2 linked regions of the Tribolium castaneum genome follow. The protein of the gene in region 2 interacts with the protein of the main gene of each other region in a pairwise test. Links are inferred from orthologs where the notes say so. Each region holds a gene or a part of one and is shown on either strand. Other genes may lie near its edges.

The links.
Region 1: the proteins of Rat1 (region 2) and TAR DNA-binding protein 43 interact in binary tests that used the Homo sapiens proteins (3 or more experiments, as listed by UniProt). The link is inferred for Tribolium castaneum from reciprocal best matches to the Homo sapiens genes XRN2 and TARDBP.

The regions. Positions count from the first base shown.
Region 1 is NC_087401.1:11,340,671-11,356,914, reverse strand, and holds TAR DNA-binding protein 43, read right to left. Parts: upstream 14,536-16,244; 5' UTR 14,273-14,535; coding exon 14,029-14,272; intron 12,539-14,028; coding exon 12,369-12,538; intron 12,317-12,368; coding exon 12,176-12,316; intron 12,123-12,175; coding exon 11,690-12,122; intron 8,399-11,689; coding exon 8,192-8,398; intron 7,530-8,191; coding exon 7,382-7,529; intron 6,523-7,381; coding exon 6,171-6,522; 3' UTR 5,962-6,170; coding exon of another isoform or gene 5,709-5,961; 3' UTR 5,659-5,708; coding exon of another isoform or gene 5,463-5,658; 3' UTR 5,462-5,462; downstream 1-5,461. Other genes in the region: dynein axonemal intermediate chain 7, read right to left, coding at 1-102, 153-1,202; putative fatty acyl-CoA reductase CG5065, read left to right, coding at 1,553-1,750, 1,797-2,304, 5,463-5,658, 5,709-5,961. UniProt on the Homo sapiens protein: RNA-binding protein that is involved in various steps of RNA biogenesis and processing.
Region 2 is NC_087396.1:15,732,328-15,748,884, forward strand, and holds Rat1 (5'-3' exoribonuclease 2 homolog), read right to left. Parts: upstream 12,704-16,557; 5' UTR 12,575-12,703; coding exon 12,500-12,574; intron 12,456-12,499; coding exon 11,418-12,455; intron 11,370-11,417; coding exon 11,157-11,369; intron 11,109-11,156; coding exon 10,837-11,108; intron 10,785-10,836; coding exon 10,616-10,784; intron 10,565-10,615; coding exon 10,475-10,564; intron 10,425-10,474; coding exon 10,093-10,424; intron 8,837-10,092; coding exon 8,618-8,836; intron 8,567-8,617; coding exon 8,427-8,566; intron 5,861-8,426; coding exon 5,631-5,860; 3' UTR 5,396-5,630; downstream 1-5,395. Other genes in the region: borr (borealin), read left to right, coding at 13,138-13,231, 13,284-13,408, 13,462-13,594, 13,771-13,955, 14,003-14,278; CD98hc (amino acid transporter heavy chain SLC3A1), read right to left, coding at 14,496-14,727, 14,872-15,581, 15,632-15,959, 16,013-16,202, 16,252-16,407, 16,466-16,553. UniProt on the Homo sapiens protein: Possesses 5'->3' exoribonuclease activity. May promote the termination of transcription by RNA polymerase II.

The sequences.
Region 1 (16,244 bases), on a different chromosome or scaffold from region 2:
GAAGCGACTCGACGATTTTGCGAGTACTGATTCTTCAATTATGTCCTCATACGAATAATCCGAATCTTCCTCTGACTCATCATCTACAAGAGTCCACTGGGACTAAACCCAAAATTAGTACTTTGTTAGGCAGAAAATTGTGTGTTTTTTACGGAGGTTCGGCGTTCCGACGATTTACTCCGTGACAAAATTGCTGACAAAGACTTTCCAATTAATTGTGATCCCGAACTTTTGACCTTCCTCAAACTTGCAGAAGATTTCTTATCTTTCTTCCTCAAACTAACTTCGGAAGCAGTGGGCAAATGCTTGCCTCCCTCTTGTGTTAACATTGTAGCCGATGGAACTGAAGCAGTTCTCTTCATTTTTTTACCCTTCGCTTTCTTCTTTTTGTGGGCAATGGCGGCCGCCGAAATGGAAACAGTTGGTTTGATATTTTCTCGCGATTCTTCACTCTTCTTCAATTTCTTCTTTTTCTTCCCCGTGACACTCATTTGAGACGTGGACGTACTCTTTTTACCTTTCTTCTTCTTCTTCTTTTTTCCATCTCCGACACCAATCGAAGAAGTTGAACGACCTTTCTTCTTTTTTTTTTCGTCGCCAACACTGATCGTGGAAGTTGAGCGACCTTTCTTCGCCTTCTTCTCTTTCTTTGATTCTTCTTCATCGGTGGAGACAGCAGAAGCGGACTTGTCTATTCTGACTTTACTTTCTCTCAAGGCTGATGCTTCAGTGATGGAAACTGCTTTAATAACTAACGGTAATTTATCAACCTCTTCAGTTTCTTCAGCCGGTTGTTGTTGTTCAACGGTTTGAACATCGTCTTTGCCTTTCTTCCCTTTTTTCTTCTTGCCTTTTTTCCCAACACTTGTTTCTGAAGTGCTTTTCTTCTCTTTTTTGCCTTTCTTTTTCCCTACACTTATCTCAGAAGTGCCTTTCTTCCCTTTTGACACTTTCCTAGACGAAGCTCTCTTTATATCAGGTTTCGAAGCATCAGCTTCAAGTTCTTCAAAATCTGGGACAGTTTCAGGTTGTTCTTCTTTCTGCTGCGGTTCGTCAGGTGGTTCGGCTTGTTCTTCATTTACTGGTTGTTTTTCTTCAATTATTTGATCTTCACTTTTCTCAACTGCAACTTGTTCTAAACCTGGCTCAGAAGTGGCTGCGGTTGTTTCTAATTTTTTGTTTTTGGCTTTTCCTTTCGCCATTTTTGTGATAAAGATAAATTTTTATGAATTGTCACAATGACAAGCCAAAAAATTTGGTTCCGCAGTTAGCCCAAATTACAAAACCTCTCTCTAATGGCATTTTGACGGTGCAATAACTTTCTTTAATCAATTGTTTCAAGCAAAGACCGCTCTAGTTTTCTGCCAACTCATGTGTACATAATGAAGATTACCATATCCGCTCTTAATGAGTTGTTTGTCGAAGTCTGCTTTAGTCATATTTTTTCTACCATCGAACTCACTCGAAAATTAGTCCCTTATTGTATGCTAATCGAGGTCCGGGTCAACGCCGACTTCGATACAGCTAAATCAGTTCAAAAGACGCACTCGAAATGGCCGAACTTCCAACAATCACCGAATTTTTCCGCGGAAAAAATATTTTCATAACGGGCGGAAGCGGCTTTATCGGGAAAGTCCTAGTGGAAAAGTTGCTACGATCATGCCCCGATTTGGCCAACATTTACTTACTCATGCGGGAGAAAAAAGGGAAAAATTTGGAGGAAAGAATCAAACTCATAACAGACCTGCCGGTAAGTCACTAAAGTAACAAAAAAATTAAGCAACTAATTCTAACAGCTTTTTGACCAAATCAAATCGAAAAACCCGAAAATTTTGGACAAAATCAAAATCATCAATGGTGACGTTACTCGGCTGGGCCTCGGCCTCACTCCCGCCGATCGCCAATTATTCGTCCACAACATCAATATTATCTTCCACGGAGCGGCCTCTGTGCGTTTTGATGACGCTCTCAGCGATGCTGTTTTGTTAAATACGAGGGGCACCCGTGAAGTCGTCAATCTTGCGTTGGCCATGAAAAATCTACTCACTTTCGTCCACATCTCGACGACTTATTGCAACACAGATCGCAAAGTGATTGGCGAACAGCTGTACCCAGCCCACGCTGATTGGCGGAAAACAATTGAAATTGCGGAAAGTGTTGACAGACACGCTTTGAATATCTTGACAGAAAAATACATACATCCTTTGCCCAACACTTACACTTTTACGAAATCGTTGGCCGAACATGTGGTCTATGACCTGTGCAAGGGGAAAATACCGGCGGTGATTTTTCGACCTTCGATTGGTGAGTTGGGATACATTCTTTTCTGTGTCTACTGTACGTAACGATTTTACGAAATAATTGAAAATCATTTTCTTGCGTAATTTATAATTGCTTTACGCTTCTTTTATTAATGAAAGCAAAATTGCTTTTGTCTGCTGACCAAATGTTTTAATAATTTTTTATTTCACTGTGAATTGTGGACTCAAAAAAGTTTAAGCAATTTAATTGTTTTCACAAGAAAATATCGTAGGGTTAAACACAAAATTAAATAATGGGTTAACGTCCTCATTTTAATTGTGCAACGCTTCAATTGTTTGCAATGTGGCAATGTGATTAATCGAAAATCATTGTTTCGAAAATTAAGTCGTAATTCAAATTTTTCAAATGTGAATAATTTGAATTTGATCAAATCTAGGAAATGGAAAAAATGTCATTGTTGTTGTTTTTTCAATATTAGAACAGTCGTTTATAGCTTTTTCGTGCCATCTCTTAATAAAACCAAATATACAGGGTGTAACAGGAAAAAATACTAAAGTTTTAGTTGCCTTGGAACAAAACAACAAATGAAAATGGTAACCAAAATTTACTTTTTTCTGTTTGGTGCCTTTGATGACAAAAATTGTCTAAGGTGCAACCAAATGTTATCATAATTTATAAAAAACACATAAGTCTTATAACGTTATAAATTAAAAAAACGAAAGAAACTTAAAAAAAGGTGCACCCTTGATATTTTTTCATGTATTAACATTTGTTTCACAATCTTTTCGTTAAACAATTTAATAATCAAGCTTTGTTTAGTCTTAGATTCTCAAAAAAAAATTGTTACAGCCAAGACTAAAGCGATTTACAAAGTGAGTCGGCTAAAAGTATACAGGGTGTTTCACATAATCACGTAATTTTACGAGGCCTGCGTCTATAAAATGCACATACAATACATATTCCGATGCGAATTCGATTACAAATTCCAAAAATTAAATAATGAAATATGTATTTTTTGTATCTATTATCTGTTTCAAAACTATAAAAAAGCCAACGTCGCATTTTACCGAATTATTTTTTCAAATAAAATTGATAGTTTTGATTGATCTCTCATTGAAAGTATAAATTACATTAGCTATTTTTACTATACCTCAAAAATTAATAATCACAAAGAATTTAGCGTCTGCTATTAATTTTTTTTTCTCTAATTATGTGTATTTTTCTAGAATATTTTTAAATTCATATTTTAAGTAACTACAAATGATTATTATTTTTTGCGTTGTCATTTTAAATTAAGTAATGTTTAAATGTTGATTTGTGCAATAATCCGTAAAAAAATGTCAAAAAATAATAATTAAGTAGAAATAAAAAATTCAAATACACTAGCAAAAATTTTATTAAGAATATTTTTAATTTTAAAGACACTAATATTTTTTATAACTAATTATATTAATAATTATTAATATTAATTTGAAGGATGGAAAAATTTTGAAAAAATTGAGATGCAGAGAACATAAAAATGGACAATAATATACAGTCACGATCAAAAAGAATGACACCTTTAAACCACAGCCACAAATCTTTTCGATATAATGCGGTTAATGTGGACGTTTGGCTAGTTTATAAACTGGCTGGATATTTTGTAAACTAGCTAGCAGTTTGTAAACTAACTTTTTTTTTTAATTTATGACCTAAAAGATTTTAGTCGGCTATCAATTTTTGAGATATAGTAAAAATGCTCGCACAGTTCAACCTGTATAACTGGCAAGTTTTTGTTGCATAAAATAAAATAATAGTTTGAAAAATGAATTATTAAAATAGATTAGAGTCAAATTTAATGAAATTCTCGAAAAAAATTGCAATTACAATAAAAAAAACACAAAAGATAAAAATATTCTTTGTAAAATTTAGTGAGAAACCATTTTCAATATTTATTTGAGAGTCGAAAAGTGCACCATTTCCTAGCAAAACTTTTTCTCACTTAAATAAATATAAATTAATCACTGAAACCAGCCAGGAAAACCGATTTTTTCAATTTCATTGCACAAACAGCTATTTCAATTTGGTTCCTGACTAGAAAAATTGTCTAGAAACGGAACCAAAAAACATACACCACAAGCAAAATTTGGTGTTAAAAACATTATGAGTACGATTTCTTTTACGGATTACAGAACAGTTTCAAAAAATGCATATTTCAGTTTGATAACAGCCCAAAAATAAATACATGCACGCTTTTGGCTTTTTTCTTCCTGTTTTAATACTCATTTATTAATTTATTTATTACTCAATTTATTTAATTTTTTTACATATTTTTGTAAAAAACATTTTGCAAGCATCGCTTCTTCTAGGAATCATAAAAACTTCCATTAGTTAATATTTTTATTTTTTTTTTAATAAAATAATATTTTATTAATATAAATATTTCTCATTAATTAATATTCATTATTTATAAGAAATTGTAGAAAAAATCTGAAAAAAATTCGAAGGCACACAGAAAGAAATAAAGCAAAAAAAAATCGCAAACGCTGATTTTTGTGTGATTATTAAAATGGATTATTATTAATTATTAGTGATTTATTACAGTATCAAACCGGCAGACAAAAAAGCCTATATTTTTGTTATTTTTAAAGCAATCGAATTAATATTTTTTATTTGAGTACTATTATGTTGAAAATAAATAATAACATTTTGAAAAATTGGGAAGAAAATCGTGTAATAAATCATTTGCTGCCAATTTTACTTCAACATACTACCAAGATATGGCGCCACAATCGAAATTTTGACGACCAATGAATACGCGTTACTTGATTTTCTGTAACTACTGTATTCTATGCTAGAATACTTCCTGTTTTAATATTCATTCCTCAGCCCTTTTTGAATTATAATCTATCATATATTTATCAAAATAACTTAAAACTGTTAACTCTAGGCTTCAGAAAAAATCATGACAGTCGAGAATTACATAAAAACAAGTTATGTATGACTTAATTCCGCTTCTACTTATAAACAAATAAAAAACACAAACCAGATATGTCACTAAGATGTAACTTTTCGACAAAAACTTAATACGAGTTATTACAATTGACAATTTTAAATTTTTATTCGTGTGAGAAGTTGTGATACCGTACTTTAATAAAGTCTTCCTCATTTTTTTAAGCGGTGTAATAACGCAACAATAAAAAATCTTCCACCACTTTCAGTCATTTCCACCGCACACGAGCCATTCCCGGGCTGGATTGACAATTTCAACGGCCCGGTGGGCCTGCTGGTGGCCTCCGGCAAAGGCATCGTGCACACCGTTTACAGCGACCCCGACGTAATCGCCGACTACGTCCCAGTGGACATCCTCGCCAAAGCAATGATCATAGCAGCGTGGAAACAGGCCGTCAAGACCAAGTACAGTGATCCAAACCCTCCAAAACCTAAAAACTAACTTACCATCGCAGGTCTCCCGAGCGCCTAAACCCCGTCTTCTACAACGGCAGCAACAACGACGTGCAGCCCATCACCATGGGCGACATGGTCGAGATGGGCAAGGGCATCTGCGAGGACGTGCCCTTCAACGACGTGCTATGGTACCCCTCCGGGTCGGTGAACAAGTGCTACTACGCCTACTTGCTCAAAGTGTACTTCTACCATCTGCTCCCGGCGCTCATCATCGACGGGCTGCTCAAAGTCATGGGCAAGAAACCCATGTAAGTGTGGGGGGTTTTGTTTGGTCGATAATGTTCTGTTGCCAGGTTGGTCAAAATCCAGAGACGGATCTACGTGGCGAACATGGCCCTTCAGTACTTCTCGCGGAATCAGTGGGAGTTCCTCAACGACAAGTCGGTGGAGCTGCAGAAGGACTTGCTTGAGGAGGATTTCGGGAGTTTTCAGTACGGTGAGGACGATGTGGAGCCCTACGATTACTTCGTCAAGGCCACAATAGGAGGCAGGAGGTATCTGTTGAAAGAGGATGATGACAGCTTGGAACAGGCCAAGAGACACTCGAGGAGGATGTGGATCGTGTCTAAAATATTCAGTGTTGTGTGGTACTTAGCCTTGGCCTGGTTGATCTTCGTCAAAGTCGACATCATCTCGGTGATTTTCAACAAGTATCGAGAGTTTTGTGTGTACTTGTTGAGTGAGTAAGGTGGAAATAAAGCACTTTTCGTTTGCAATAATTTATTCAACAATCTTAGTAAAATCTTGAGTTTCCAACGCGCGAGTTCAGTCTTGTGTGCGGCGCTCCACGGCTTCAATACCAATCCCAGGTCCCTAAACAAAACCCCAATTAATGACATGACTCGCCTCCGCCTCGCAAGTGTTAAAGTCGTCCATCATCAGTGTATTTTGTCCAAAAATTTGAATCAAACTTACTCAGTCAGACGTCTTCACATGTCCCACCATTCGTCCCCATTTACTACACTCATTCACCACACTTTTGTTTAAGTCTCTTCATGCAATCTGTCAAGACACAGGGAGAAAGGAACACTACGACGGCGCACACTTGACCTGACCTGACCTGACCCAAGTGCAAGTGGCGCCGTCTCTACGACAGTCAAGGAGTATCGTCTTCAAATTAAATAAAAACAAAACACAGATCATCTGCACTCATATAATATTATCACCTCTTTTACATAATTATCCTTAAAAACCCAGTCAAACACAAGTAAATGTACAGTCACTATCTTTTAAAACTCTTACGATGCGATCGTCGTGATGCACGTGGGGGAATAATCAAAACTGCCAACTCCGGCAAACCACCAACAGAAATTCAATACATTTTCTTTTTCCCTAGACTAATCTACAGTAGGAGCAAAGCTTCCGGAAACGACTTCAACCAGCTAATATACAAAACAAAAGAACCACCTCACACACTTCCGGCATAATAAAACAAATGAGTATATTTTGTGTATAAAATTGACTAGTCCTCGAATTTTCTTCTTCACCTGACGTCATTCACACACAACATTTCCGAAAACTTTTCTCAACATGATGTGCTGAATTATATTATTTGAGAGACACACACTAAGTAAGCAGAGAGAAACGTAATAGAAAAATAAGAATGAAGGAAGGTAAGGGATGAGGAGTGATTGTGATTGGTTGGATTTAAAATTATTTGATTTAGTCGTACTTGAGAAATCCCTTGTTCTCCTGCGCCTGTTGGGGGGGCGGTCGAGGCCATTGGCCGCCATCTTGGTTTTGACCGCCGCCCTGATTTATCCAACTGAGAAAACCAGGATTGCTGCTACCCCCCTGGTTGCTGCCGTTCGGCGTGTTGCCTAAAACACCACTGGGTGACAGGGGCACGGGACTAGACAGATTGACCAGATTGCGATATACAGGCTCCCCAAAAAGCATGAATATAGCTAAATATTTTCAGAACGGTTTAACAAAGCACCTTGAAATTTGGGACACAGTTATAAGTGTTTAAATTCTATCATATGCGATCTTTTTCAATTTTCCATCGTCAATTATTTTCAAAATACAAGACTAACTTGATTTTTTTAAAGACATGAAGCAACAAATTTAATAATATTCAAAAGAACATTTTTTTCCGAATTAAATGATATAACATATAGCTTTATTTTTATTAGAAGGTAAAAAAAAATATTAGTCTTTTTTTTTTTTTTCGATTAAATTAAGGTACACATGTGTTTCGCCATAGAACTAAAATAAAAATATTAAGTATGCCCCTTATTGCCATTAAAAAAAATCAAGTTAGCCTTGTATCCTGAGAACAAATGGAGATAGAAATTTGATAAACATCTGAAACGATAGAATTTATTTACTCTTAAGCACGTACCAAATTTCAATAAGTTTTGATGTATAGTTTTTATAATTTGTACCTGTATCTATATTTTTTGGGGACCTGTATATATTTTTTAAAGAAACGAGCTCGGCTTCGCCTCGCAATCTGCTCACGCACTCTTATGACCCTTACCGCTGTTATTGTTGGGGCCGTTGTTGAAGCCCTGATTGAAATTCGGTTCGGGCTGATTCTGTAAATTACCGATAAGCCCCCAGCCTGCTTGATTCAATGCGGCAGCGACCAGAGCGGGATTCATGGGTAAAGCGCTCAAATTCAAACCCAAACCCAATGGATTACAGCTTTGTTGGTTACTACCTTGCTGACCTTGACCGGTTATACCTATAACGGGGAACACATCGCAACACATTCATCGATTTCCAAGTTTTTTTTACTCATTTTTACTATTAATTACATTCACAACAACTAGAACTAAACAGCAACATTTTTTCTTCACATCAAACCATAACCTACAACCATTCGGACACGTGAAACATTTCGGAATTGTACAATATATATAGGGCATTCCAAGTTTTAAAGCCGGTTGAAAAATATAGATTTTTTGGTGGGTAATAAAACTTGAAGCACCCTGTATGGAGAAAGGAAATAAATAAAACTCACCGTGCGGGAACGACTAGATCTTGTTAGTCGGGAGTTTGGGAGAGGAGTTCACAAAGGAGGCCGGGGTCAAAAACTTAACTAAACGAGCGTAACGAGTGACACAAACTTAAATAATCCCAGGATAATCTGACCCAGGCAAAAATCTGACTTGGACACATTTTGGCTTAAAATAACATTTTTTGACCCCTCTAGGGCGAAAAAATGGCACGATGTTATAAAAAAATTGGTTTTGAATTCAGTTTTAGACAATATTTTTTTTTTAATGGGCAGAAATCACTGCACTACTACTGTAGGGCCTTTAACTATTTTCAATGTTTACAAAAAAATATTTATTTAGTTATCGAAGTTAAATATAAATTAAAAATATTGAATTTACTGAACATAACATTATCAAATTACATGTACATGAATTTCTGCGATAATGTTTTAAAATGACATTTTTATAAGTTTTTAGATAGTACACATTTTTATCTTTTTGGTAAGTATAAAAAAAATCAAAAAAGTTGATAAAATAAAAAGTTTTTTTGTTTATTTTCTGGGTTTAGGTGTCATACTAAATATTTTCATAGAAATTGAAACATATATAAAAAACAATTGCCACGAAAACAAAACAAAATAAGTCAAAAACAAAAAGATAAAATAAGATTTGGAATATTCTGGAAAAAACATGTCCAAAAAATTTTCAAATTTCAATGTATCAACTCAAAAATCTTTAATATCTCTAATATCATCTAAGTGGATTAGGAAAAAATAATAATGATATATTATTGTCAAATTGTCAATTCAATTCTACCGGGTGCTCAAAAATCGGCGCACCAACTCAATGGTGTGTGGTAGAGAATTGCTTATATATAAAGGTAAAAATAGTAAAAAAATTCTTTGTATTAAAATTATTGATAAATAACGAATTTTCAATAAATGAAATGTGGCAACGTTGTCTAACAGTCGTGATCTCAACAGAATTTGATCAACAATAGAAGTAAATTATTTTGAACTGGTTTCCTAGGAAATAATTTCCAGTGTTGGCACATCTACTAATTGTGATTTTTTTGATGAATTTTATTTTTTTTTAATTTAAAAAACTGCTAAAGTCTGATAGTAAATTTAAAAATAATTATTCATTGTTTTATTAGGGAACGATTACTTGGTGTGAAACATAAAAACATTAAAGAATAATAAATACTGGAGAAGTTAACAAAATAAGTTTATAGCTACAGATTTTTTAAAATACGACTCTAGGAATTTTTTCAAGATTTTTCCCGTAATCTACACTTGCTTCTCAACAACGTCCCACTGAGTTGGTGCGCCAGTTTTTGAGCGCCCTGTACATCGCAATAAGTCCAATTTTAGTCATTTTGAAAGCAATAAAGAAACGTTTCCTATAAAATCCTCTTTTTCAAATGTAATAATTAGATTTGCAATAAATTCCTTTATTTAAATGTTATTAAACAATATTGTTAACACCGAAAATTTGTGAAAATTGATTCAGTGCAATGAGATAAGTCAATTAATCGTTTTTTTTTCTGCAAATCTACAAATTAATATTAAACGTAAAGTAATATAAGAAAGTATAAATTAAATCTGGCATGTCATTCTAAGTGTTTTTCATAAATTTTAAGACAATTTTTTTGAAAATGTGATTTTTATTAAACAAAATTATTATAATAATGCTTCGTTCTGACTCTTGGGTTTAAAGGTGTTTGCATTTAAAAATCACAATTAAAAAAAATATACAATGTTATATACACTTTTAATGACTGAAAAAACTACAGTAGCCCATTAACTCCGAAAATTTGTGAAAATTGATTCAGTGCAATGAGATAAGTCTATTAATCGTTTTTTTTTCTGCAAATCTACAAATTAATATTAAACGTAAAGTAATATAAGAAAGTATAAATTAAATCTGGCATGTCATTCTAAGTGTTTTTCATAAATTTTAAGACAATTTTTTTGAAAATGTAATTTTTATTAAACAAAATTATTATAATAATGCTTCGTTCTGACTCTTGGGTTTAAAGGTGTGTGCATTTAAAAATCACAATTAAAAAAAATATACAATGTTATATACACTTTTAATGACTGAAAAAACTACAGTAGCCCATTAACTCCGAAAATTTGTGAAAATTGATTCAGTGCAATGAGATAAGTCTATTAATCGTTTTTTTTTTCTGCAAATATACAAATTAATATTAAACGTAAAGTAACATAAGAAATTATAAATTAAATCTGGCATGTCATTCTAAGTGTTTTTCATAAATTTTAAAGCAATTTTTTTAAAGGTGGTTTTTATTAAACAAAATTATTATAATAATGCTTCGTTCTGACTCTTGGGTTTAAAGGTGTTTGCATTTAAAAACAACAATTAAAAAAAATATACTATGTTTACGTCACTTTTAAAGACTGAAAAAACTGCAGTAGATTATGTATGATTGTCAATATTTTTTTAATTTAAAGGTATTTTATTAAACGTTTAATTGAATTACAAGTATTAAAATTAATTGGTATGACATTTGCCCACATGGAGCAGCTTATAAAATTTTCTTGAAAACAATAGAGTCGGTTTATAGAAGCGTCATTAAATTAATCTGCTATTAAATGCGTGATTAATGTATCACGTGACCAAATTGAACAAATTTAATTAGTCCATTCGCCTTGATAACATTTAAACCGACCCTTAAACCGGTTTATAGAAGCGTCATTAATTTAATCCGCCATTAAATGATCAGATAAACAAATTAAAGCATTGTGATTGGTCTATTCGCGTTGTTTTAACAACGTGTTAAATTTTAATAGAGCTTTCTATAAACCGGATCTTAGAATCACTATTTTCAATTAATTTAAATTGCGGATGAATTTTTAAAATAGGAACTGTGTTTTGTTATATTTTCGCAGAATGATTTTTGACTTTTTATGACCCAATCGACGTAATTATTAGTCCTAGGTCCTAGGGTCAGACTACCCTTAAGTTGCCAACTTGACTTGAAAATCGCAGCCAATTACCCAAAAACTTACCTAAAGCTTGTAAATTGGGCATATCGATATTTCCCCTCGGCCCCTGATTGCTCCAATTGCCCTGATTCGGACCTGGATTGTACCTTTGTTGGTACATCCCAGGCCCATCAGGTCCCGGTCCGCTCCTGTTATTCCCATGATTGGCACCTCGTGGTCCGCCGCCCCCATAACCACCGCCTCGTGTTTCGGATTTGGGGGCGGCGTTTGAAACATGAACTGACACACCCTTGATTATATGATCCTCGCCACAGAGACTTTGGGCCACTTCGGGGTCCAGAAATGTAACAAAACTGAATGCGCGAAACGGTTTCGGGATGAAAACATCGGTGACTTCGCCATATTTGCCGAAATATTCGCGAAGATCGTCGGCGGTTAATTCTTCAGTGCAACGGCCGATGAACACTTTGCAGGGCACTTGTTGGATCAGACCTTCCTGGAAAAATGAGCAGTTATTGCGAGGCGAAGCCGAGCCAAGTAATGATGTACTTTTGAATTGGGTACTTTGACATCACACCATCGACCGTCAATCATATGCCTTTGGGCCAAGACACGCATCTGGGATTCGTACGAGGCGAAGCGAATGAAACCGAAGCCTTTTGATTGGCCGGTTTTGGGGTCTTTCTTCACCTAGAAAAATTCGCATTTTATGCAATTCGTGCTGAAATTCACCACTCATTACTTGAGCCATTAAAACTTCACCGAACGTTTCGAAATATTCGCGTAAATTCTGTTCTGTTGTTTTCCAAGGTAATCCTAACACTATCAAGTCTGTACATCTTAGTTTTGTTTCCATACGTTTCGTTTTCGCAGTTGAATTTTCTAAATTGTCGTCCGATTTCCGTTTGTTTTCTGAAACAGATAACACAAACTTTACGCTTGGCAATAGCTCCACACATCAAATTTTTATCGACTTTTACGAATTTAACTACGTCACTGGAAAGATTTTAAAAATTTAATTTCAGAGAAAAGGAGCAAATATTTTTTGTCATTTAGCAAAATAGATACTGTCGCAGTTAAATGCACTATACAGGGTGCTACATTTTGGTTGTCCGAAAAAGCGATCTCCAAAACTGAGAGGTTTAGAGAAAAACGAGTGACACATTCTCGGGTCCGTTTTTTGAGAGAATAATTTTGGTCAAAACCGCATTTCGCTATCGTCTTTTGTTTTCGACTTATAAACAAAAGTTGGCATTTTAGTAAAATATTAAAAAAATCATATCTTCCTTATTATAAGAGAAACACATTTGAAACAAAGACATTATACAGGCACTTTTTTACAAAGAATTTAATAATGTTATCAACGATTTTTTTTAATCATTCGTTTAGCTGTAATAACATAAACTTGTATTTTTTTAAACGAGAATAATAGTTGGCTGTGACATTTTCGAAATGCTTATTTTTTTCTGAACTCAAAACAATATAAATATAGTTTGATATTTTTATATATTTTCGGTAAAAATATATTTAAATATTTGAAAGTAGTTGGCCATGGAAAAATTATTTCACATAAAAGCTGTGAATAAACTAGAAATTTTGTGAACGGTTTATTAAAGTAAAAAAATGTGAAATTATAAAAATAATCTATGTTAAAGTGCAGATCGTCGCAGATTTTAATAACATAAAAATGTGCAGAAAATTGCAAACGATGTGTCACAGAAAAGGAAAGCTTTAAAACTGTCTTATATCACCTGTTTCGTAAGAAATTGTAAAAGTTGAATTATTTTATAGGGAAAAGTATAGGGTTTATTCCCTGAGTTGATGGCTGAGAATAACCGTTTAAACGTAAAAACAAATACTGTAGTGCTGGGGTGTAAGACTACATAATAAGTTTTTCCAGATTTATTTTTAAATTAAATAAATTTGAAGTGATATGCAACCAACATTGCACACAAGCAGTTTTTATTAATTATTTTCTGTCTCTTTACGTATACATACGATTTTAATGACATATTCGCCAAAAAAGTAGTACTTTACAGACTATTTTTGGTTACTTTACGAAATATTTCGTTGGCTATAGGTATAGAAATTATGTGTGTTCCAGTAAAGTCCACTTGATGAAGTACAGTAGATGTCCTACGTACATATTTGTTTAATTGTCTGCGTCCTAGACTGGGAGCCGCCACTGAATATGTTTAAGAAACTAGGCGTTAATGACATGCTACGCCACTGGAAAGTGAGCTCAAATTCTGACATTACTGACCTTGAAATTCTTTGACAAATGAAACAAACTATACATTATTAATCAAAGCCAATTAATAAAAATCGATTTTCAATTGATACAATTTAGGCAAAAGACAACTTCCTGGGAGTATTCCCACAGATAGCCCCAATCCCCGCACCTTTGGGAAAAACACAGTAGAAAATCTGCGTGCCCCAGCCGATCTCTGGTGGCGGATGCAGCCGCCCCTCGCTCAATCGCACGCCTCTCATCGCTTTCGTCTCGGGATTCCTGTACTTGAGCCCCGAGGAGCCCGGGAACTGTGCCGCCAGAGTGCTCAGAAGCAGAGTTCCGTCATCTTCGGTGGGCAACTCGATGGGCTCCTCGCCCTCGTCCTCGGCCACTTGGAGGTACTCCACCGACATTCTCACTCACGCACCCTCACACAGACACACAATTTAAGCGTATTTGTAAATACGCTTGCACGCACTTGTCACTAAAATAAAATGGCAGCCGATGCAGATGCGTATTTGTTTTTTGACGTATTTCCGGTTTCTCGCACACTGGATGCGACCCAAAACGCGGCCCGGGGGGCGGCTAACGGGGGCGGTGAGTCAATAATGCACCCATTTCGATTTAATGACGGGTTATGGGGCGATTTCGGGACGAAATCGGCGAATTAGCGGTTTTGAATGACGGGTGACAGATGACACAAACGGGCGCCAAATTTAAGTTTGTTTATTAGCGAGGTGTATACCTGGTTGCCTACGTATTATTAAAAAAAACACGTTTGATTTTTGTTATTACAATTTATTTATTTTTTCGTAATTATTATAAAGTTATTTTTCATCGTCTGATCTTGCATCTCCCTTTAAGTGCCCTCGAGTGAGCAAAGACGCCGCCATTTTGAATATATAGTACGTCCAAATAAAGTCAAGTGTGAGGAAAAGAAATAAAAAAGCTACAAATATGTAATACATGGCGAAAGAAGTAAAGTTGGGCATAATTTCTGGGACGTCCACAACAACACTGAAACAATTTAATAACAAATGAATTCGCGCGTCTACACCCATACTTTTTTATTATCCAAAAGGGGAAAAGCCCCAATCTTGTGACCACCCAAACCATGGTAAAAATACCAAAAAGCGCGTGGAAAACCCTTTCATATTTCAAATACCTTGCGATTTTGGCGCCCTAAAACAAATGGTCGCACTGTTGGTAGAAAAAATACAGTATGCACCTCTAGGAAAATATCGCAGCAGTCGTGCAAGACCAATCCGAGACTAAACATGCGAAAAAAGTTGGCATTCCAGCACAAACAGGTGAAAACAATGACGGAAATGTGGTGTACCAACATTATAAAAAAATCCTTTCGTCTCACATCAGTGTAGAGACTGAGTAAAAACGCCCACATGAACGTCAAAGAAATGGAAAAGTGCCACCAAATATCGGTTGGCACGGCCTGGTTGTAGAAATCGGTCCTGGAAGAAATAATGTATGCAACTCGGGCACGATGTAGCCTTACCAACACGCGTTTACAGTCCGGGACATTTCTATTTGGACATAAAAAATTTGAATTTTCTGACATTTATACGTATATTCAGCGTCTATGTGAACAAAAAATGTTCTCTCTCTCATTCTATGGTCCTTGAGCTTTAATAACAGGGACATTTTTTAAATTGGTAGCATTAGAAAATGACAGTAAACAGCTGACTGATGTAAACAATAACACAATAACAAAGGAAATGTTATAATTTTAATCTATATAACCAGTGGCTGCTTTAAAAGTGTGTACTAACGGGATAATAAAATATTTACGCAAGTATTTTTGAAGGTAGAAACATTACTTGTCATATAACAATTATAGATTATATGATGAGACGGGAATGGCACAATACAGAATTGCAGTCAGTGATTGTGCTGGAGAAAGCTGCTGTGACGTACTGACAGTACTGACTGTCGGTGGTTGTATGGTTTGCGCAATTTGTGATATATTTTGTGTGAAAAACTGGAAAACAAAGTGCATACCTGCATAACCTCACTTATCGCAGTTTTGCACATTTTGATGATGGGAATTGCGGTTCAAGTAATTATGAGTTATAGATGGAGCTCACTGTTTACTTCAAAGTAAGTTCACGACATTTATTAATTAATTATTAAAAAAAATATTAAAAAAATCACAGATAGTGTTTATAATTTGCAGCTGAAGCCTTTTGGGTCCACTTTTTTCGTTGTTATTTCCTGGTAGCGACTCTTGTTTCAAGCAGAATGGGTGTAAAGTTAAAAATAATCCCATAAAATTGTTAATATAACTCCGTTGCACTGGCATGGGGTATTTGAAAACTTACGTTTAACAAATACGTCACAAAGTCTCATCCATCGTCGAAAAACATAATA
Region 2 (16,557 bases):
TTTATTATTCATTATAAATGTTTTTTAATGTTGTCACAGGCAAGAGCTGCCAAAATTATAAGTAGCCCGGAGCGGCAATGGACCTAAATACACCCCTGCATTTAGGGACAACAATGTTTTTCTTAATAAAATTTCACACTAATTGTAAATAAATGCTGGTGTTCACATCAGCAAAAAATCAATATGAAAAACTCGTGAAATTTGCTGCGATAAGTATTGGTCCAGGCTCAAAAATCCCTTCCGAGGGTGAGTCAGTATCCTCGGTATTAGCAAATTGAGCGTATAAACAGGTAAGTCTAATATTGAGAGGATTATCTGGGGTAGCGAGCAGCGATTATGCTGAACCTGCGAAATCTCAGAGATTGTTTTAGCGCCCCCTTGCGCCTCCGCCCCTTGGCGTTGTCAATAATTCGCGATGCCTCGACATAATAAAATCCCGATCCATGTAAGCCGACGCTAACGATACGATGTGATTAATTGTTGCCAAGTAACCATCAGAGGCTTAGGTCAAGTGGCGTCCCGACGCTCCGGCAGCGCCGCCACCCTCGATCGGCTACAGTGCATTATTACATTCCATCCATTTGTCATGTGAGCTTCTTCGGCTTTAATTACAATTAGTATTTTTAGGGGCCGTTTTTGTGGGCGGTTTCGCCGCCACACATAAAGTCGGATAAATCTCGACTGTCACAATCAGGAGGCTGGACAGCATTTTATGGTGCTATCAATACACATCCGACACAGTGTCGCCACCAGCTCGATACTTTCGGACCCTCCACAATCGACGTTTTGTCTTAGGACGCTTACACCTACAGGATGACGAGGCAGGATGCCGGTGAATGGGGCCTTCTCCGGCAATTAGCGATTCGAATTGGACACGAAGGCGCCTCCAGTTATGAAGACGATCGCTTTATTGTCTAGCTGACGGCCCGTCACCGGATAAATGCCAGATGAGAATGAAACGGTTATGAAGCGAAGAATTACGACAGGACTGCTCTACGGCACTAATAGATGGGATCACGATTAAAATCGTCGTTACGGACTGAAAATTACTAAAACAATAAAGACAATTAAATTTCGCGACGTTTCCTAATACTAATATCCTGCTCGTAATTTCCTAATGCAATAAATGTCTCGAACAAGATTATTGTGGCGAGAAAAAAATACTTTAACAATGAAAACGTGAGAATTATTTAAATATCTTTGTTTTTCATTATAAATTAAAATTAGAAAGCGATTTGTTGAACAATAAAGCTGACTTGCTAAAATTCAAAATTTTGAGGTAAATTTTTCTTGTGTGAACTTTAGGAGACATTGAAAAATTCACCCCAAAGTGTTTTATCACATAATATGTAAACCAATATCACAGCATGGCGTATTTACCAAATTTTAATGCATACCTAATAAATTCGAGTTTAGAAGCTTCATAATCAATTCAAAATTAAATTTTTAGACATTGTAACGCTAATACGTAGTACCAAATGTTCATAATGTTAAATTGTTAAAATGAGAAAATACAAAGTAAAAACGAGCGCCTCTCATTTTAAAAAAAACTTTTGAATCCAACAGAAAAAAAAGCAAATATAATAATTTACTCTCGACTTTATTTTATTTCTATACCGGGTGCTCAAAAACTGCCGAACCAACTCACTTACCATACATTTGTGTATGGTAGAAAGTTGCTTACATAAAAAAAAACAATAAAAAAATCCGTTGTATTAAAGTTAGTGATAAATAACGAATTTTAAATAAAACGTCTAACAGTCGTGACCGCAATAGAAATTGATCAACAATCAAAATAAATTATTTTTGAAACGGTTTCCTAAAAAATAATTCCCAGCGTTGGCACATCTACACATTGCGATTCTTTTGATAAGTTTTAATTTTTTTTTAATTCTAAAAACGCTAAGATCTGATAGTAATAATTTAAAAATAATTATTCATCGTTTTGTTAGAGAACGATTAGTTAGCGTAAAACATGAGAACATTAAAAAATAATGAAAACTAAAGAAGTTAACAAAATATGTTTGTAAGTCCAAATTTTTTAAAATATAAATTTAGAAATTTTTTCAAGATTTTTCTCGTAATCTGCACTTGCATCTCAACAACGTACCACTAATTGGTTCGCCAATTTTTGAGCACCCTGTAGAAGTACCACATAAAGCAAAATGCTATTTTTTAGTTTTGGCAACAAAATGTTTCTATTTGTCAAGAAAAAAAGATTAAAAACAGGTTCACAAAAAGCTCTATTAAAATTTAATACATAATTTGGTCACATGATTAAATTGCATTTAATTGCGGATTAAATTAATGAACCCTATGTAAACCGACCTTAAGAAACTTGCCAAAAGTGCCAATGCCTTATAAGAAAATATGAAAACAATATAATTTTTTTAAGTTCATAAATAAACCACATATAGGGAAATTTCAAAGTTGAAAAAAATATTCATCAAGTTATGTCCATTATTTCTCAAAAAATTATTTTTTTTAATATGAATAATCTGAAACTAAAATACTAAATAAAAACTTCTGAGTTATTGAGATCATTAAACATTTTATTTTATTTTATCAAAGAGATCAAATATTCCTATAAAATAATTCCTAATAAAATTATTTAAGTTATGACACTGTCCTTCGCCTTAGTATAATAGGATTGTTTCCCTTATTTCGTCAGATCCAAATGAAAATACATAAATCTTTTTTTCTTCAACTCGGTAATATTCCTGATGTACCATCACTCACATAATTAGAAAATTTTCCAGGTTGATAGGTAAGTAGTCATAGAATAGATTATATATATATATATATATATATATATATATATATATATATATATATATATATATATATATATATATATATATATATATATATATATATATATATATATATATATATATATATATATATATATATATATATGGTAGCGCTCAGCTCCGTTTGCGTGTGCGTCATCTGACATTTCTGTCACTACGTTTACATAGCAGGGGCATAGCGGTGACAAACTATCAAATATTTTTTGAGGTTACGAAGTGTTTAAATTATGAGTTGTTACAAAAAATACAGATTCACAAAACAAGAACTAATAAACGCAGAATCAAAAACCTAACGAAATGCAAATCACAAAACACAATAAACGAACAGAAAATACTATATATATATACCAATTAACACAATACAAACTGAATATATATATATATATATATATATATATATATATATATATATATATATATATATATATATATATATATATTATATTATTAAGTACTTAGGTACTTAAAATTTAAATTCCGCATTTCAGTTTGTATTGTGTTAATTGGTGTCTTTTACTTTTTATGAGTACTGCAGCGCATGTTCGTTTTTTATTTATTACAATACTATTTTAGTAAAAAAGTTATTAATTTATTAAATATTATCGAATATTTTAAATCATTGAACATAGCTACAAACCTACATAGATTACAAATTTTATGAATAAATCAGAAACACACAGAAATATATTTAAAAGAGCTCGAAAATGTGATTTCCCCTACATGGACATCAAAAATGCCAGTCTGTAAATACCACAACAAATTTAAAGCAATACCGTAAAACAGTTAATTATATAAATATCTTTGTTCACGTATTTGTAGCAGTAATTACAATCACCAAAACATTATATTTTTTGTTAATGATTTATCCAAACCTATTGTGCTGTTTAATTTTATTCATTTTATCGCAAACAGATGCTTTGTAAATTATTAAATAAAATACAAATAACCTTTTTGCTGATTATGATTTCCTCGTTATTTTCAAAACAACTTCGATGTCTTATGCGTGTTGTGTCTAATAGATATTTAATAGTGCACGAATTTTAAAACTTAGAGTGGTTAGCGTTTCCAAATGAAATGAATCTCCAAAGATAAATAAAAAAAAAACAATCGTATTATAAGGATTTGGATTTAAAAAGATTAGTCTCACTTGCATATCCACATTTTTCAATGATTTCTTCTGACTACATCGAGATTTCGATTGATTTCCCAAATTTTGCGCACTGATATGTCCTCTGCGATTTACCAAAGTTTTGATACTTGCATTAAAAAGAAATTATCTATCTATCTGTAGATCTATCAGACGTTAATATTAATACCGATATTTTATTCTCCATTACTTTCTAATAAACACATTAACAATAATTTAATTACTTGAACTTGATACAGCTGTCGCAAAAATATTAAAATGTCGGTTACAAATAGAAATAAACTGTGGTAGTTGACGTAAAACAAATAATTTGGCTAATTTGGAAAAAAACTTATCAAATTGAGAAATCGTTGGCCCCCCGTGCCTGAGAAAGCGCCATTTCGCTCGATCGCCCCCGGCGCAAAGTCACATCACATCTGAATGCGTCCAAATAATCGAAAAAGTCCACATATGCATAGGAATGCGTTGTTCGCAGCTCGCTGCGTCGTGTGGGAGCGCGGACCACCGCAGGAGATCTTTAATGCCACCCCAAAGGAAACCGCGTGACGTCCTTTATTCGTGCTCATCCCGTCCGCGATCCAGAAATCGAATTTGCGATATTCCGTATTCGTTGCGATAAAATTTATTTTTTCCACACGCTGCCCCACCGAACACAACCCTGCATCAGAAGTTCAAGTGGCCGCTCTCCTTAGCTACCTACAGCTACATGCAACTCAAGTGGGCATTGTGCCAGCACTACCAACGGCCCTTCTTGCACTCCACGCTTGCCATTGTCTGCACCCGAACACTAGACAATCTAAAAAATAACGCGTACTTATCGCCATAAAGGCCCTAATGCACTATTTATTCCTATATTGTATGTTGCTAATGGCTGTCACCTGGGTCTGGACGGCCCTCCATAACGCGCACGGCTTTGGTATCCGCAGATTCTCGGTTAAAGGACAAAGCCATCGACCGTTTCAAATCGCGTTAACGGCAAATGTCAATTAATAAAGATTCTTGTAAAGGTGTTACAAAAAAGTTACATTTAGATTACTTTATTCAATCATCAAGTATGTAATTTTAGTCTTGGCTTTTGGTAAATTTTCGTGTCTACTAGAAGGCAATGTAAAACCAGGTTAAAAACAAAGAAATTTCCCCCTTTTTCGTCAAAAGACTAAACCCAGCACAGCGCCTATTTTTGCACAAATGCACTAAGGCGAAAAGTCAAAAACGTGCTTACAACTGCAATATTTAGTGGCGCACAAAGCGCATTACCATAAGCGTACAATGAGTGAGCACTCTTAGCATGGAACTCTTGTTTCTGAGACAAGAGTCCTTAAATCGAAACCCCCTCCCTACCCCTTTATTTCTCTTTCATCAGATCCAACGGTAGCGGAAGTGCCACTATTCTTCTGCAACCATGCAATTTTTATAGCGTAATAAAACACAACCATACTAAAATCATATTGTTTATTCCATACTTTTTAAACTACAACAATTCTTTTCCTTAAGCCTTTGCTAGAAAGGTACAAAACCATAATCATACAAAACAAGAGAATACTGTTCTCTCAATGAACCTACACTATACATTTTAACTCAAATAAATAGTGAAGGGATAGTTATTTTTTTAAGTGATTAAAAAAGTTACAAAGTCGGATAAAATTAGAAGTATGTAGAAATGAAAATTTCTACCTCCTGTAGCTGTATCTATTTGCGTTAGGGTTCGAGCTGGAGGTCTGATATCCGTCCCTGTAAGGACCCGGAGGCCTTCTGCTGGGATCGTTCCTGTCGGAGTTGTAGTTCCGATTTTGGTAGTTGTTCCGGTTGTACCTTTGATTGTACCCTGTGTCATACCCACTCTGGTACCCCCTCGAGTTGTGCCCCTGGTTGTAACTCGAGTACCCTCCTTGACTGTGCCCTGCAATTGATCCTCATGCACTAATAAACTCTTCCGCCGCGAAAATTTCATCAAGTCCGGAATTTACTTGACCGTGTCTTCCCTTTGATCGAATCACCCCCTCGACCGCACACGTTGATTGCCTTCCTCGAGCCCGACGTGTGTTGGAAATTCGCGAATTTTCCGCTCCGGCGGCGTCCGGAATAATCTTGCTCGCAGTCGGCCGGACAATAGTTCAATTTGGAAAATCTCCGTCGGTGGAAAACTAGACGCCAAGCGAAACTATTTTCGCATTAGGGGCGGTGGCGTTGTGGTGATTGTCAAATTAGGCGTGTCAGTGGTGCTGACGGCCGCACAAAAGCTTCAATTACGCGCTCTGCCGCCGGCAGAACGGTGTCATTGTTGCGTCACACCCACAAACAAGGGCACAATGCTCGACAAATTGCTTGTTTTCAGGACGAACGATGCGACGGCCCCGCAGAACCACGAATTACGACCGAGCGGACCGATTAAGATACGGAACGCGATAACATCACAGACACACACAACGCATAATGTTCAATAGTGATATGGGACCGGCATTCATCAAAAATGCATTATTTCGACGCGTTTCTAAATCTCCAAACTAATAAAAAAGCTTAGGTACAGAACGACGAAAAATTAAAAGCTGGAAAGTTTTTTGATAATGTTCCAGAACAAAATCTAACAAAAATAATTTTATACATATTTAGTAAATTAAAAAAACAAAAACCGTATTGAAATACATGTAAATATTATTACATATTATCAAATTGTTTTTTATTCTATAAAAAACTCTTCTTAATTAATATCCTCTTGACCACAAAATTTCTACCATGTCAGATAAGATGGTATTATACCATCTTTATACCATCTTATGACACTGTAGTATGTTGAAGTTTAAATCGTCTTAATAAAATGTTTTTAGCATATTTGAAAATGTGGTCCTTTTACGTTAACGTTTTACGCCTGTTTCAACATTTCTGTTTAAATCGTTTGTTGTTCCTTTTAGATAGGTGAGGACACCTAATTATACATTGGAAGTGTTGATGTTGAATTCTGTTCAATGCTAATCTAAACTTTTTATAGTTTCATAAACATTAGGCACCATTAGAACGCGAGTGAAATTTTGTAGGTGAAAAAAATGTATGAGCTAAGTTTTAAATAACAATTTATAATTTTATTCTAATTTCTCGTATAAATACACTTGTACAAAGATCAGAAAGTTACGAATTTGGAATAAAATATTATAATATTTTTTGTAATGTGCCTCTGAGTCCTTTAAAAAAAGCCATGTATCTCATAAATAAAAAATGGAATCATTAAACCATTAAACTTATATTAGAACAGAATTTCAACAAAAAAACTTCCGGGTTATATGGGTCAACTAATCTTTTCCAACTAATTAGATGACAATTGTAACAGTTTTTATAAATTAACGCCAATGGACCTTTGATTTTTTTAATATGAATAGATTGGTTTCCAAAATTTCAGAAAAAGTTATTGTATCTTCGTTATCATCAACATTTAAATAAGGTTTTTAGGCTAAAACTCTTGAGAACAATACAAAGGTGAACTTCGCGAATACCTAAATAACCATATTATGACTTGTGAGTCTTTATGACTTAATTTCTAACAATTTATTATGATACTCGTAAAAATACTTATATACTTTGTGTTGGCATTAGGATTGCATTTTGAAACTTTTCGAGCTTTATTACGACAGGCTGTATTCTCACCATAAAAAGTCCTGTTTACTTTCATAATTTACTATTTTGGTATTTAGAAAATTATTTCAATTACAATTATCAAATTAATAATGCGAGTATATCAAAAAACAAAACATTTTAATTCGTCAAATTATTGAACCATACAAATTATACTGATAATGATTAATTGAATTTTAAATGTATTTATTTATAATTAAATGAAGCATTCAGATCTGGAATGGCCTAATCCACAAAATGTATTTTAATTACAATCTGAGATCAAATGCATACTTTACTATTGATCTAATAATTTGTAATAAAATTTGTAATAAAACATTTAAAAATTTTCATTTTCGAAGACCGTTAACTGTTTGGTAAGAAAAGTTTGGAAATTTGATACACTAACATGAACAGTTAAAGAACGTATTACACCTTACAAACTAATAAAAGTTGATGAATTCGCAAGTTTGTTTGTAAACAAGCAAAGTAGTTACACCTACAACCCCGGTAAACATTCCAATTACGCCACCGTTCCCCCACCTTTACTTTTATTGGTTAGACGCATAAACAAACGCCGGTACCTAGCTGATTTGGGCAATAACCGTCGCTAGTGCAGTGTGCACTGACTTAAAACCGATTTAATTGCAATCGTATAATAATGAACATGCGAAGGGGTCACGTGCTAGACACGACGCGTGCCTCCAATCACCTATTAAAACAAACAATTGACCCTTCTCCCGTCCACCCTCACCACCATTGTTCCGCCGTCAACAACAGAGCGCCGTGAGGGTTTCTCGCAATATCAATCGTCAAAATCCGATCCAGTGACCCTTATTTAAAACAATCAAATCTGTACTTACCGTAATTACTGCCGCGATTTTGGTGATAGTTATTTCTTCTGTCCATATTAGACGGCGGAGGAACGTGCGAGTACGGACCTGGACCCGACTTGGGAAAATGATGACCCACCATCCTGTGGCCGGCCTCGCCTAAAGTGGCTCTAAATCATCGACGTTAAATTTTTTACGCACGAAATTTAAATGAAGTTTACCGTGTTGTTGATGGCACCATTCCAATGATAGGTCGCCAGTTTCTGCTTGCTACAGGATCTAAATCTGTTGGTTTTAAAACTCGAGGCGGATCGATCGCGCCTTTTAGTTTCTTGGCTGGAAATACGAAGCCGGAAGCGTATTTTGGATCGCGGTATTTCACACAAGACACCATGTTGTTCATGATGTCGTCCAAACCGCGAATCGGAGAATCCAAATAACTAAAAAATTAGAAAATTAGAAACTTTGTTTATTATAGAGATACCTAAATACTAGAATGACACGACGCAGGAATAGAACGTCTCCTAAATTAAAAAAAAAAAAATGGAATGGCAGTGCCTCCACTGCTGACAAAGAATTTTTAAAATCTGCTGTTAATTCCACATTTTTCTAGATCAAACCTGTAGTTTCTTATCTTAAAATTCTTATTGCTAGTTTAAATATGTATTACACCTAACCATTCTTATGTTGTTCTTATGTTAAATTATTTCTCCTTCTTTTTATTATTTTTTAAAGCTACCTTGCGATTACGTACAGGCATTGTACTTTAAATGTTCGAGCAGAAAATTGAGTCCTTTATGTTTAAAAAAAAAAGTATCAAGTAGCATGACGGTATTGGATGAAAAAATTAGATCATTATTCGTTTAATTCAGGATATTCATGTAACATTTGTTTCAAAAAGCCTTTTTTTTGATCAGCATTATCTGGAGTGCTAGTGTTATTTTTCTGAATCATGTGTTTCCTCCTCAATTTTGTTTGAATCTTTTATTTAAAACAAGTTAAACACCTCTAACAGCTTGTGGGTTATCAGTATCATCAAAAAACTTTAATAAAATTTCTCAAACAATGTATGAAAATATAAAAAAGTAATATTATCTGAAAAAGTAGTTGCAAATTTTATTTATCATCTTTGCATTGTAAAGTTATGCTGTTGACAGAACAAGGAACAAGGAACCTGAAGCAAAATGCGCGGACAACAAACGTCGGCAGCCATCCCTTTATTTTTTTGGCACCGTTGCCGAAAAGAGTCATTGTCAAAAAAATAGTTGTATTTAAACACAAGATAAACAGATAGAATAAAATTGTAATTGTAAAAAATAAAGATAAGGAAAAAATTATTAAAAATAAAAAAAAATTCAAACTTATAAATTTTTTCACACCACCTCCCTATTTTTCAAAACATGGTTCAAAAACCAAAACAAGTAGTAGTGTTCGTCTTCTCAGCTTATTAAAAATTTGATAATCAATATTCCTGTCTTTTTTCCAAGCAATTAACAATTGGGTGATGGCATTACCACTATACTCATTTTTATATTTATTTTTTTATTAGTGAGTTATTTAAATTCACATCAATTTTAAAGTGTCTAATATAAAATATTTTGTATCTCCTTTCGCCTAATACTTACTTCTAGTTAGTTTATTTTCACCTTTTCTAATATTTTTAAAACAAATATCTGTTTTAAATTATCTTACTTACCCTCCATAATCGACGCATTCATCGGACAACAACACAGTCCCCTGCATTCCCTCAATGGAAACGTGCACTTCCATTTTCACACTGATTTTTTGTACATACAGTTGCTTTATTTGGTTATAACCGGCGTTTTTGGCCCCAACATACAACCGATCATCTCCTCGCACATTTCTCCGAATTTCTTCAGGTGATAACTCTTTATAATATGGAGCTAAGGCCTTAAATAACCTATCCTCATTAACAAAAGGCAATAACGCAACTCCTTGCCAGGCAAATTTCTTCCCGTTTAAGTCAATTTTAAAATCTTCGGGATAAAAATCAATAATTGGTGATTCCTAACACAAAATCATAAATGGGTTTTAATTAAAAAAAGTAGAGTACCTACAGGGTCTGACATTAACTTTGCCCATGGTTGAGGAACATGTTTACTACTAGCAGCCGGGAAAACACCCATTAATTGTTCTAGAGGTCGGAACTGAAATTACACTATTATTGAACTGTTTTGTGGAAAAAACGAAGTTATTACAGGATCAGAGTCTTCCTCAAATTCAGTACTCAAGCCTGCGATGTGAACAAAATCTGAAGCAAATGGGGCATAATGGTAGGGATAGTACCACTTCCACGAGGCACACCCTTGGTAATAGTACCGCAAAACCCAACACAAACCCCTCACGTAATGCAGCGCTACGTTATTTCTACAAATTATTCAAAAATTAATTTATCAAGACGCAATCGCTTCTGAAGTACCGAAAATCTAGATTATCAGAATTCACGTCGAATTTTGATTCATAGTAACGATCCTTGAACCCATCTTCCCATAATCTCACTTCATCATGAGCCTGGTCGTCATCACTTTCATCGTCGTCCTCATGGTGGCGCTTCTGGCCCCGGTTACTTGACTGACTATCCACGGGTGTTAACATCGACTCTAACCCCGCTTTTTGAGTGTGCATTCCGGCCTTTCGTATTTCAAAAGCCTCATGACGGGCGTTTACTACCGGCTTTGCCTGGCCTAAAGCCTAAAACACGAATTAAAATTTGTTATGTCGATAAAAAAGCAAACTTGCGGTAGGAGCAAACTGCGTGTTCTTGACCAAGTCCCAGTTGGGTTTATACTGGTTGTAGCCTTCGCTCCTCCGTCTTTTCGCCTTTTCTCTCGCCTTAAACTGTAATTCTTTCTGTTGTCGTGTTTTAAATATTTCATCCTCAGCTTTGCCCAATTCGCTCATAATCAACTGAACGCGCTCCAAGTTGACATCACCGCTGTTTGTCAACCAGCCCTGCAATGTCAATAATTAAAAACCAAACATAAAACTCGTTAAATTTACCCCAGTTTTATAGACGCAATCTTTATATAGTCTGATTAGTCGGTCAATTGCCCCTTCCCGAATTTCCAAGCTTGGCAAATGTGGTAAAAAATCGTTACCAACAAAAAAGCACATAAAAACCCAATCGTCTAAAACCCGCTCAAACTCGTATTTGAAGGGTAAATTCGGCATTTGCAATTCGCGTTCTAAATACTCCTTTAAAACGTTCAAACGAACAAAAATATAATCCGTTTCTGCAAACACTTTCTGCGTGTCGCTCTCAGCACTAGCAGCGCCACCTATACAATCTTTCATTTCGTGACCCAACTGACCACAAATATCACAAGGTCTGGGCTTGTTAGGCTTGAACTCTTCCCTAATTATAGTAAAATTGGGCTCATGCGTGGCCAAACCCAACATGATTAAGTCAGCGTCGGCACCACAAAGGCAGTGTTGAGTGTTTGGATCGTGGTCAGGTTGCGCCCTCTGGCGCCTAATAAAATCCATGATTTTGTGTTCGCCTTCACCCGGCACGTTCGCATCCGAGAGGATAACTTTAATCCCCTGCCACCCTGGGTCATTATTCAGCCTCTCGTGGATGTAATAATGCAGGCAGTTAGAAAGCCGCGCCATGAACGGGGTCCCCGGCGTGATGCAGTTGGAATCAAAGTGCTCCTCCTTCGGTTTCTCGTCCGGCAACTTCGCCCCTCGCAGCAACAGCTCGGCCCGAATTCGCTTGATTTCGTTAATTTTCTCCACGGTTTCTTTAGCGGCGCGGAAACGCCTTGATCTCTGCTGGTTCATTTTCGCGCGTGGGGCAACTCCGTCAATCGCCATGTACAGGAGTTTCCTGGGACGGACGATGTTGAAAATGCGATCGATGCATTCGAAAATCGCGACCATCATCTCGTCTTCATTGCGCGGCGCTGGTCGGTCCTCTGGATGCGTGCACGGGTGGATAATTCCGTTCATGTCCAGGTACAAATTGTCAAACTCCACCCCGTTGGGGTTGGGCTCGGCGGAATTGGTTGGAACCCGGACCCCATTTACATCAACTGCCTGAAAATTGGCTCGAAATTTGTGAGTGATGGACTTAACCTTACTTTTTGTTCGATGCAGTGGACGATCACTGAAGGGTATTTGCGGCTCAGCCAACGGAAAAATGCCGGGACTCCCATTGCAAAAGGTCGGAATGCTAATAAGAACGTAGATAGTCGCCAGGAAATTAAGAATTTTGAATTTATTCAAAAGTTAAATGCATGACAGCCATCTTGAGTCACTACTGTAAACAGCGCAGCCAACATAGCTGTCTCAAGCACGCTGTACACTGTTTCTCTAATAACTAATTATAATTTATTTAAAAATACATCGTAACTGACCCAAAAAATAGAAGCGTAACTGTGGCATGTAAATACCTACACGTACATATGAAAAAAGTTACATTTAAATTATTTCCAGGGACATTGCGTTAGGTTGGCGACAACTTCAAGATTTTTAAATGTCAGTTAGTTCGTTAGTGTAGACTTGTGCCTGTTGTGCTTGAAACTCAGTTTTAGTTAATAATATTGTGTTATAAATATCACAACCTAATTAGTTAACTCACATAAAGTCTATCTAACGTAAGCGAGTGCTTTTTATTATAACGCAAAGGTTTGTAACAAGCAAACAAGAACTGGTCAAGCGTCTGCAAAAAATGCTATCTCATATTTACAATCACCTATATTTTTTAATTAACTTACAGATGCCTCGAACGAAAGTTGTTAAAAAGGAGCGGAATGAAGAAGCCGGACGAATTAAGGAATTGGTGTCAAAAACAGGTCCGATGGGGAAAATGCGTTAGTAGTCTTTGCCGGTGTCTGTACTCGTTGCTGTAGTTTAAAATTTCAGTAAAGAGCATCCCTTCCACATTTAAACAACAGATAGAGAATTTCAAGATGCAGTTTAAGGCCGATTTGAAGAAAACGAAGCTTTCTATTCCCAGAAATCTTGCTAATAAGACTATGGGGGAGTTGGTAATGTAGAAAATATTTTATTGTAATAATAATTCATTATGAAAAAAATGTAGATGGAACGGCCTCCTGGCTGGTCTGGGGATAGCACCGTCGGTGGTTCTGTTACTCAGTTAATGGATGCAACACGAACAATGACAGTGACGAAAAGTAAACTTACCAAAAGTAATTCTTTTGGTGATGATGAAGGTAAGCTACACTGCACAAAAGCTTAAATGCTTGACTTTCCATCCTTTACTCAATAAATTAATTTTATTTTTCTTGTCATTACTAACACTCATGAATTTAAATGTTTCTTATAATTTTTAATATGTGACTAAAACCGGTATCATGACATTCATCTAATTGGGGTTGGGGCTTGCTAGGGTACCTTACAGCTGAAAGTAGTAAAAGTACTTCAGGTGGTAGGCAGTCAAGAACAAAAAATAGAGTACCAAAAACGACTCGCATCTCAAGATCTCAATCACTTCGCACTAAAAACGTAACAGAGGTGTATAAAACCCCAGCACAGAGAGTTCCTGCCAACAGCTATGGCACAGTAACACCAAAGGTAAAAATACGGTTTTTATTGTGGAAAAATTAACGTTGTTGCGATAGGTAAAACCCAACACACCGCAAGTACTTTTGCGCCGACCCAAGCAAGGAGAAGTCGCCCTATCGCTCCAAGGAAGTCCTCTGCTTACAGGAAATGTAGTGACTGACAATGTGGCCAACATCAACATTCCCCTTGAGGATGGCCGTCTTTTCTCGATTCAGCCCCAGAGAGGTTTACGCGTCTCTCAAATCCCAGAACTTGATCTTGAAACCAAACGACAGTTGGAGACTTTGAGGGATAATTTGAATAAAGTCTGCTCTTTAGCAACTACACGATAGGATATTAAGTGTGTGTGTATTATTTTTAATTATCGAATTCATTCATACATGTATTACGTAACCGTTGTTCAAAATAAATTGACTTTTACTGTAAATTTTTGTAATACTGGAGAATTGAAACCACTACATAATGCTGCGTTTTGAAATATATTTACTGTTCAACACAAAGTATAAAAGCAAGACAATGGAATGCCTTTATATTCAAATAATTGCAGGTTTATTTAGATGGCGGTACATATGACATTACAATTGCTGATTTTGGCGAAATAGGCACAGAATGTGCGTCATGTTTTACACTGACTGCTACATTTGGTTCGCTGTAATTAGCGCTAAACAGCTGAACAGTCACATCTTCTGACAGACCTTTGATATGGGCAGGGAAGTCGACCACCGTGCGATTGTCCGAGGGGTTTAAGGCGACCAATATTCCAGGGTTACCAGCAGTTACCCTAAAAAAAATAGTTATACACTACCACTGTTAACAACAACAGTTTGGAAAAATGGTTACGTTAACATACCTCCCCCTATTCCACGTTAGCAAGTAAAAATGTTTTAATTTAATGTTAGTTTTGAAATTAACACGTTTTATTTACCTTGTAAATGCAAACACAGTCTTATTGTTGAGTAAATGCGAGGAGAAGGAACCTCTCATAATAGAAGGTGAATTTCGTATCTTCAACAACTCCTTGTTGTTTTCCGATTCCAACATCACCAGTGGCGTCCCGGGTAACAAATAAGTGACAAGATCCCACTCACTCGAAGCGTTGACTTTCCATAACGGCCAAGTGATATTATCAGCATTAAATGTCGTATTTAAAACGTGAACAACATCGGTGATGTTAACACTTGGTTTATTCAATAAATGCGATTGAAGAGGCAGATCAACAACAAATGAGCTGTTGACCTTGTAAGCTTCGATATTGCTTAAATGTTCAGCTACCATAAATGGCCCATTTTCTGTCATGTTTTTAACAATAAATCTCCACTGTTTTAATAGTGGCCCCAATTGCATCACATTTTTAGTCTTTGGGTGCGTGTAAAAACTGTGTTCTTTGAAACCATCTCCAGTGGGATTTGGGATTTTAATTGGTTCGTCTTCAAAGTTTGGATCCACCAATAGGTAGGGAGCTCCTTTAAGCCTAATCCCGCCTGCGCCATAATTTAGGAACTTTTTAATAACTTCAGAGAATTTTTCAACAACTCTAGGGTTGTAGAAATTAAGGTGGGGCTTATCCATTGGTGCATAATAAAATTCTTTGCGATTTGGAGAGTATTTCCACGATGAGACATTCCTTACTGAGAGCTATTTAAAAAAAGTTAGTCAATACAATTAGAGAAATTCCGCAAACTTACCCAGTTATTTGGGGGTGTTGGCTCCCCTCCATTACTAGCCTCTTTAGGTTGACGCCAAATATAAAATTCACTGAATAGAGGATCCCTACTTTCAGATTTATTGAACCAAACCAAAGGGGATGCACTAGGTTCAAGTTCCACAACCACATTTATTTCCTTTTCCTTGAACTGCTTGAATGACTTGATCAATTCATGATCTTCACTAAACTCAGAATAAGCATTTTCAGGCCATGAAATTATAACTCCTGTAACTCCCAATTCCTTAACTTTCTTGATTGTTTCTTCACTTGCATCATCCTTCAGCTCAACTAGAGGACCTTTCTCCCACCTAATGGCCAAAATTACGTAAGTTTGTTTGGCGAGAAACGGTCGTCTATTTACCAAGTCCTCGGTGGTGGGGGGTTACACTTAGGAGCGGCCAGAATGATCATAACAGCCCCCAGAAGCATCAACCCCCACAAGATCCAAAACGTGATGAACAAAAACCAGCGCAAACGCACCCAAAACGGGTCGTTGGCGTACTTCATCAACTCCTCTTTGGTGAGGCCCACAAACGCGGTCTTGAGGTCGCCTGAAGTGTTAATTTCGCGTGACGCAATACAAATTTTAATTGAACTCACCAATGTCCAGTTTCGCATCGCCGTTTTGCTTCTCGTTGGGCGAAATCTTAGCATCGGCCACTTCCTCCTTCGGCAGCATCTTCTCGTCCGCGCCGTCGGCCTCCGGACTGGCTGCGTTCGGTTTCACTAGGCTTTTGGGTCGAGTAACGGCGTCCTCTGAAAATAGCAGACTTGTTTTATTTTTAAAAGAGCGAGTATGATGCAATTAACATACCTTCCATGTCAGCTTCAGGTATTGCCTTGTAAGTGGCCGGCGGGTCGGCGCTTGGCTTCTCTGATAGCTCCAACTTGTTGCCTTCCATTATG